Arabidopsis thaliana: one gene and its partner. The protein of the gene in region 2 purifies or fractionates together with the protein of the main gene of each other region. This does not show direct contact. Each region holds a gene or a part of one and is shown on either strand. Other genes may lie near its edges.

Region 1 (5,392 bases), on a different chromosome or scaffold from region 2:
GGCGAGCGGCGGAATTGAAATTCAGATTGAAAACTATAATATAACGAAGAACTTCATGATCCCCTCAGTTTTTGTTATTTCTTATCCACATACTTCTCCGCCGCTTCTAGCCTTTCATTCCTACCACCATCCGTCTACTTCCATCGCCGCCACCGCCGCCTGAATGTTTCAGAACGGTCTCTTATAGAGTTAGGGTTTTGACGTTTTGTTCGGCCCTTTTCTCTGATAAATTTGTATTTTTCGGACTAAACTGGGCCGTATCTTAGGCCCAATAACGCATCTCCACAACACAGTACAATATCTGTTATATGACATGACTTAAAACTTTTGGGCCTTTTCTGATAAATTCAATTTGCTAATGTCATTCTATTTAATGTGATGTTATCTTCATCCTATGAATATGCATATTCATAAATATTTAATGTATGTATATGGTTCCTTAATCAATGATGATTGATAGATTCGTTCCTTCGTCGAAATCTAATGTATATGCATAGAATTAATTCATATATCGGTTTAGAAGATGATGGAATTAATTATCCAACTAGGCGACGACTTATATGTCGACATGAGTTATAAATTCAAATACAACGACATCATTTGAGTCAAATGCAAACAAAAATTATAAGAAAAATAAAATAGCAATCGAAGGGTTTTGGGGTTTTATGATTTATGGCTGGCATCTGTGTAACCGTGTTCCTCTTTGCTTGATTGGGATAACAACGTTTTACATGTATCGTCCACGACGAACGAATCTATCTATCAACTTAATTCATCCAACTAGCAAATAGCAACTTGCATACAAAATAATTTATCAAAAAAAAAAAAAACTTGCATACGGAAGAAAAAGTGTTATTATTCAGCAATTTTCACTAAACTACTCATATTTAAATTCCATATTTTGCACTAAATTACTATTTCTATGGCTGGAAACAAAAACTGAGTTACTTGGCTCATGGCCTTCTATAGCCTTGAATGGACGCTATTACGACCTCGTCTCTTTCGTGGAAAAAGCAAATGAGGGCCAAAGACTTTTAAAGGGAAATGTCTCCTTTCGGTGGATGCTTTCTTCACAAATGCACCCACTATATATGTCTGTCTGTCTACTTGTAAGTTGCAATGTAATATATTCATGAATTTATCATACTAATAATATGTTTGTTTATCATTAGATCGGTAGGGGTTATGCACATTAAACGATAAGATTGATGTGATAAGGGTTAGAAACTGATCTACTGTTAAATTATTGTGATAAGGATCGGAAATTAATGTGATCATAATTTTGGTGGACCATTGTTTGTCTGTGGTCCATGACAAACAAGTCACAACGGTCCACGGTTTATTACGACATTGTGAATTTGTGATTGCATATTTAGGTTCAAAACTGTTATTAATATCCAAAATTTTGTGTATAATTAATAAATTCCAAATTCACAATCAACTAAAAGTTATATGTATAAACTTGCAGTTGTTTAGAGAATGATAATAACACAAAAACTTACGATGGTAGCTTTAACTAGTCAACACGTGAAATAAATGCGATGTGGAAATTTGCCGGGGGAAAAAATGATGACTTCTCAAGATTATTTCCGCTCGGGTTTTAATGAGACTCTGACATGAAATTGAATTCAGATGATTATAAAACGGTTCATATATTCATATAGTAGATGATGATATAAACTCATCGAAGCATCGTAGAAAATAGAGAACTTCAATTTGTTTTTTGTTTACCATTATTAGAGATACTATTCGCTGAAAGAGAAGCATAAGAGGGGTGTTATGATTTGACAAAAACACCCTTAATCATTGGTCAAGACTCAAAGAGTGTTGCAGATAAGGTACAGATCAGAAACCCACCTCTAGAAATCGAGCAATAGATCTCTCTCAACTTCACAGACAAAATCCAACCGAGTTGGTGGGTCTCACTAACTCTTTAACTAGTTGTCTGACAATTCGCCACGTGTCGGTCATCCTGATCAGTTTCAGTACTATTGCCCCCACCGAATCATTATCTCCCCCTCGCTCACTCGCTTACTTACCGTAATAATCTCTCTGCTTCCCTCCTCTAGCTCTTGTCCCTTTCTGTCTGAACCTGGCAAGAAGAACCTTAGCCTCTCTTTCTTCTTTCTCTCTCTCTCTCTCTGTGTTACTGTTCTGTTTCAACTTTACTCCCTCAGTTTCAGAACAATTCCCTATCTAGAAGAGAGATAAAACCGAGAAGGTTTTGGAGATAGAATCTTTTGTTCTTCTTTTGTCCCTCCTTGCTCGATTTTTGTTACGTGTGAAGCAATAAAAAAAAACTGATATAGCTAAATCTTCCATCCATTCAGAGGCTTCTAAATCTGGTAATTACTTTTATAGCTTCCCCTTAGTAAGAGTTTACTATATATAGAATTAGTTGCTTTATTAAATCATTTCCTCCTAGATTGTTGGAGAGGGTTGTTTGGTTTAATTATTTTCTAATCATTAAACTGTTGGGATTTCGAATAATCTTTTCTAAGTTGATTGCTTTCATCATCCTTTTTCCTCAAATCTCCTGTTAATCATTATACTAATTATGAATCAAATCATTTCTTATTCACTTACAAAAAAGTAATATATTCTTTATTTAAGTGTCTTTACAGATCTGACATGGAACAAGTGTTTGCTGATTGGAATTTTGAAGATAATTTTCACATGTCCACTAATAAAAGATCAATCAGGTATATATCAATTTTCCAATTCAAGTATTTCATAATTATATACCAATTTCACATCTTAATCATAGCTATTTAAGTATTGTTTGTTTAAAATATGTTTGTAAACATTCATATGTTGGGACAGACCAGAAGATGAATTAGTGGAGCTATTGTGGAGAGATGGTCAAGTGGTTTTACAAAGCCAAGCTCGTAGAGAACCGTCAGTCCAAGTCCAAACCCACAAACAAGAAACCCTAAGAAAACCCAACAATATTTTTCTTGACAACCAAGAAACAGTACAAAAGCCTAACTACGCTGCTCTAGATGATCAAGAAACCGTCTCCTGGATACAATACCCTCCGGATGACGTCATCGACCCTTTCGAATCCGAGTTCTCCTCTCATTTCTTCTCTTCGATCGATCACCTCGGAGGTCCTGAGAAGCCACGAACGATCGAAGAGACAGTTAAGCATGAGGCTCAAGCCATGGCTCCTCCTAAGTTTAGATCCTCGGTTATAACAGTCGGACCGAGTCATTGCGGCAGCAACCAGTCAACAAATATTCATCAGGCCACTACACTTCCGGTTTCTATGAGTGATAGAAGCAAGAACGTCGAAGAAAGACTTGACACTTCGTCAGGTGGCTCCTCCGGTTGCAGCTATGGAAGGAACAACAAAGAAACCGTTAGTGGAACAAGTGTAACCATTGACCGTAAAAGAAAACATGTTATGGATGCTGATCAAGAATCTGTGTCTCAATCAGATATAGGTTTGACCTCAACCGATGATCAAACCATGGGTAACAAATCGAGCCAACGGTCAGGATCTACTCGAAGAAGCCGTGCAGCTGAAGTTCATAATCTCTCAGAAAGGGTATACATATACTATTTCTGACTAGTTGATCAACCATTCAGTAATAATAATTCTGATGTGATCTTTGTCTATTAATTACAGAGGAGGAGAGATCGGATCAATGAAAGAATGAAAGCTCTTCAAGAACTCATACCTCACTGCAGCAGAGTAAGTTTTTTCATCACAAAAAAACTGAGTTAATTAAGCTGTAATTGATTGGTGTGTTTAAATATGGTTTTGTCTTCTTCTTTTTTTGTGTAGACAGATAAAGCTTCGATATTGGATGAAGCAATTGATTACTTAAAATCACTTCAAATGCAACTCCAAGTGATGTGGATGGGAAGTGGAATGGCGGCGGCGGCAGCAGCAGCAGCAAGTCCGATGATGTTTCCCGGGGTACAATCATCTCCATACATTAATCAGATGGCTATGCAAAGTCAGATGCAATTGTCTCAATTCCCGGTTATGAACCGGTCCGCTCCGCAGAACCATCCCGGTTTAGTATGTCAAAACCCGGTACAGTTGCAGCTCCAAGCACAGAACCAAATCTTATCGGAGCAGCTCGCTAGGTACATGGGCGGGATTCCCCAGATGCCGCCGGCGGGAAATCAGGTCAGTTGCAGACGGCATCGTTTTGAAGAAAGACAAATATATTTATTTAATATCTGACGTGTCATGTTTTAAATTAGATGCAGACCGTGCAACAACAACCAGCGGACATGTTGGGATTTGGATCTCCGGCGGGACCGCAAAGTCAACTGTCGGCACCGGCGACCACCGACAGTCTTCATATGGGTAAAATAGGCTGACTTGGCATATAGTTTTCCTCCGAAATTATTCTTCTTACAGTTGGTGATTGTTATTTATTTTTGGTCGCCTAAGCAAGCATAAAAGCTAAGTCAAATGTATTATAGAGATCTAATAAGTTAGTCTCATACTTATAACTTATTTTTAAACAGTTGAATTATAGTATCAATCAAGTGTTGGGAACCTAAAGATCATACATGTGTCAATACTTTTATATTTGTTCTCAAGGTTCATCAGAAAAACAAAATAAAAAGGATAGACTAGGCCTGCATTTGACATTATCATGGGCTTTTTTGGGTCTATGAATATGAACATTAACCCATATTACTGCTCAAAACGCATACGTTATACAAAAAACGGAAAACGCTAACGTGGTTTACTCCACCACGATTCGTACGTAACGACTAGCGAGTCCCATACCTACTCGATTTTTAGTTTCCTCAAGTTAACGGTGAAATCAAATTACCGATTATGTCCTTCTAAAGTGACACGTGTCTTACAAGAGGAGCGAGTTTATCCTAATCACATACTCGAGCGTGTAGGTTTCCGATTAAAGCGAAGCAGAAAAAAATTACTAAAATAATAAAAACGTATAGAATGTGATTAATTAAGTCAACCAATAAGCATCTTACAAATCAGCACTCTGAAAACAAACACGATTATTAATAGAAAAAGCTGCGACCCGACTCCTGAGCCTCTCTCTTTCTATCGCTCTTTGATTTTGTTTCTCATTGTTTTGCTTCAAATTACGCATTCGAATCTGATCTTCGTTGATCTCTGTGGAAGAAACAGATAAGAGAAAATCGCATGAATTTTTTTAGAAAACTAGGTTTTAATCCTTCGATTGCAAGCTACTTCACTAATACGAGTCTTCTGATCTCAATTCTTAGTTTTTCTCCTCAATTGCCGATTTCTCTCTTTCTTTTCGAGCAGAAATCGTTAGATCCTTTATCGCTGTGTAATAGTAGTACTAATTTTAATAATCTTGAGAGTAATTACTCCGTTCATTGTTGAATCATGGAGTCCGGAGGCAAAACTAATCGTCAGCTGCGTAAA
Region 2 (3,435 bases):
GAGAAATATATAGAAATGATAATTAGAAAAAACAAAAACAAAAATAATTCAATTAATAACTTCCTCATAAGAGTTCGCTAAAACCGCGCTAAAATTTCTTGAAAGACAAAATTCAAATAAATCGTTTGTGCGCCAAATTCCGTTGGAAAACAAAGAATAAGAACGAAAAATGAGTTGGAAAATTTTTAAAATAGATTCAGGTTTCAAAATAAGTTTTTTTTGCTAGATCTCTGGATCTTGTTGCCTCTAGAATGTAATCTAACAAAAAGCTGCAAACACAAAAGAGTCTTGACAAGTAAAAGTGATTAAAAAAAAAAGAAATAGCCGAATAAACATCCTTGTTTACAGTACCCTATCTCTTATGAAATAGATTATAATATATGATTCTTTTCTACTCTCATAAGGAATCACTAGAAGATTATGTTTCCATGGGTAAACTGAGGACTTTTTTATCCGTAATCCTTGTGTTTTTGTATGCATAAATTAATCTAAAGCCAATATTCATAAACCATTAGATTCATTTGAAAGACAACAACAGAAATACATTCTTTTTTTTTTTTGGACAAAACAACAGAAATACATTCAACAACTAAAAAACATAACATTGAAAACATAAGCAGAACTCAAAAAGAAATTCAAGTTCTCACAACAGCGGTTACAAAACCCAATCCAAATATTAATTCCCACCGTTTCCTCCATTTGCCCCAGTCGCATCCTCCTCGGTCCAAGCTCCAGGCATCTGCGGGTGTGGCGCGTGTATTCCTAAACCGTAACAAACCGGAGTTCCTATCACCGTTCCCGGCGGCAGTTCTTCATTGTTAAGATCTGGCACAGCCACATGATCAGCAACATCGTCCACAGGATCAGCAGCGGCGACAACGGGCTCTCCCTCGTCCTTAGGGACATCATCACGCAAGAAATCAAAGATGACGGTTTGAGACACTACGGCATCAACATCAGATTTCCGTATCGTGAGTCGGTTGCTCTCTTGAGCATGGAGCCATGAACGCATCGTGAGGTCCATGACAAACATTTCACAAGCCTTAGATAAGAGATTTGGAGCCTCAGCAGCGATCATACTCACATCCGGATCAAACTTCATTATCCTCTTGATACGAGAGATGGGGAACTCGTGATTCTTGACATTCAAGTCACCTTCCATCCCCTTTGACCAGAAACTCTTTAGTTGCTCGTTATCTTTCGGTGGCTGTTGGTGGTTGTTGTTGTTGTTCTCCATTTTTTTTTTGTTTGAAGTGTTTGGGTTTGAGATATTTTTATGTGGAGGTTTGCATATATAAAGGAAAATTAAGCGTATATAAGATATGGTAGGATAAGATTAAGAAGTGATCTCTTTACATATATGAATCTCAACCTATTTAGTAGTTTGTTAAGAATATTTAATGTTATTAACTGTATGTGTGTGACTGACAGACTTGTGGTTGGTATTATAAGAAGAAAAAAGAAAGAGATTTGTTTTTACTTAAAGTGTATATTATATACCAAATAATAGTCTTATAAAAATGAAACAAAAAAAAAAATACCTTTTTCTCTATAAAATTGAAAGTTAAAATTTTGCTGTACAAAACTTAGTTTTGAATATCTTGTTAAAAATGATGTTTTCAAATGTTAAATGTGAAAGCATAATTTGCTCAAAATTTTAAGAGAATTTTAATAAGAATTTGCTCATGATGTTAAATTGAATTTTACTTAATTTACATTGGTTCAAATTAATGTATGAAACGATATATAACAATAATATATGAATGTACAAAGTACAAATCCTGTAGTCCCTCTAAAAGTTAAATTTTGGTTATTTCTCTAATTATTTGATTTGTTAACATGAGGAGGTAGACACTCAAGAGAGAATCTCACATTTTGATGTTTAACTGCAAAATAAAAGAGAGATCATTAATAAATATGTTAGTAAATTTTGTCAAACAAAATATTAAATTTAAATAAAAAGTGACCAGTTTGGAGTTGGATTGTTCCAAAAAGTGAACAGTTTGGAGTTAAACAAGAGTAGCCGTTTTATTTTGGCGCCTCCTTCTTCAAGATATTACTGCATTACTCCTCCATAACCACATTATCAGTTTCATCACTCCTCAGTAGCACCAAAACTCTTGTGTGGAGAAGAGGAAACACACCTTTCAATACTCAGTTTGATTATACTCGTAGCCTTTCGAACCAATGCACTTCAAAGCCTATTTGGCGAAATCTCAAGTCTTATCACATCTATAGACTTGAGATTTTCCCAAATAGGCTTTGAAGTGCATTGGTTCGAAAACATAAATGGTGGAAAGAGATAGATGGTTTTTGCACAAAGTTCGATAAATATCAATCTTGAAATTCAAAAACCAAAGATATCGTTTCCCCTTAAGATCAGATCTCGAAGTCTTAGATAAGGAATCCATAAAACTTGTTAAAAGAGTACTACTCCTAAACAAACAACTCATGCAGGAAGCTTTGCGCGGGTGTTGGAACTTGTTTTTGATGAAGTGGTTGTGGCCACTTTTCCGGTGAAGACGTTCATCGGAATGACCGGTTTTTCGGCACAATAGAATCATTGTTGCAAGCACTACGCGGACCGTGGTGGTGCATTGGAATGTCAAAAATGAAGTTATCATTTGAATGAGAAATGAAGGTCCAAAATAGCTGCCTTGGTATATAATATACAGTAAGTAAGAGGAGAAATCCAAACATACATGGGTTGGGTTTGAGATTTGAGAGTTGGGAAATGGGCTTACAACCAATAAAAAATATCTACCTTAATGATAGAGTTTTGTAACAACAACAAAAAATCAGTTATGACAATTAAGGTCAGAAAACGTTTTTGACATTGTTGTGAGAATCAAAATCTCATAAATTTTCGTTAAGGTGAGATCACCTCATGAATATATATACGTTGAGCTTGGGCTATGTAAGTCAAGTCATTGTCTTCTCCTTCTCTTCATAAGATCACAAACATCAAAATTCCTCTCTTCTCTCTTCTTCTTTTGTTTGGGTCTGAGAGTGTAACACAAGACTAGTATTCGTTCGGCTTTTGATTTTGAGTGTTGCCAATGAAAAGAGATAACAATTTTCTCATGCGACTCTAATCGTCATTAAACCCTCGCACTACGAGGAGATGTTTGAGTTATAAAGGAGAGATCATCAAAGCTCTCGACTCTGTTAAGCACCGTCAATCTCCGTTCCTCAATCATCTTTTTGGTATTGTTGAATTTCATTACCTGTTCTATATTAGTTGCTTTAAGTATTAGGTAGTGTCTATGTTAAAATATTCGTCGTACAAAATCTAGTGGTGGGAATTAACAAAAAAAAATAAAAAATCTAGTTGTGGGTTTTATTTTTCTATTTTTGTTCAACCATTATCTATCTTCTAAAATAGTTATGGTCTACTCTCAAAGAACAAGGTTGCGTATAATGTAAACATGGTTT

What was found.
Region 1: the proteins of NF-YC5 (region 2) and PIL6 purify together in Arabidopsis thaliana (affinity purification with western blotting, with the first as the bait; one study listed by BioGRID). This does not show direct contact.

The regions. Positions count from the first base shown.
Region 1 is NC_003074.8:21,827,135-21,832,526, reverse strand, and holds PIL6 (phytochrome interacting factor 3-like 6), read left to right. Parts: upstream 1-1,689; 5' UTR 1,690-2,345; exon of another isoform or gene 2,346-2,624; 5' UTR 2,625-2,631; coding exon 2,632-2,702; intron 2,703-2,823; coding exon 2,824-3,550; intron 3,551-3,631; coding exon 3,632-3,697; intron 3,698-3,790; coding exon 3,791-4,141; intron 4,142-4,218; coding exon 4,219-4,338; 3' UTR 4,339-4,622; downstream 4,623-5,392. Other genes in the region: AT3G59070 (Cytochrome b561/ferric reductase transmembrane with DOMON related domain-containing protein), read left to right, coding at 1-163; PAO3 (polyamine oxidase 3), read left to right, coding at 5,354-5,392. UniProt on the Arabidopsis thaliana protein: Transcription factor acting negatively in the phytochrome B signaling pathway to promote the shade-avoidance response. Regulates PHYB abundance at the post-transcriptional level, possibly via the ubiquitin-proteasome pathway.
Region 2 is NC_003076.8:20,559,934-20,563,368, forward strand, and holds NF-YC5 (nuclear factor Y, subunit C5), read right to left. Parts: upstream 1,296-3,435; 5' UTR 1,238-1,295; coding exon 677-1,237; 3' UTR 501-676; downstream 1-500. Other genes in the region: AT5G50500 (uncharacterized protein), read right to left, coding at 2,217-2,624. UniProt on the Arabidopsis thaliana protein: Stimulates the transcription of various genes by recognizing and binding to a CCAAT motif in promoters.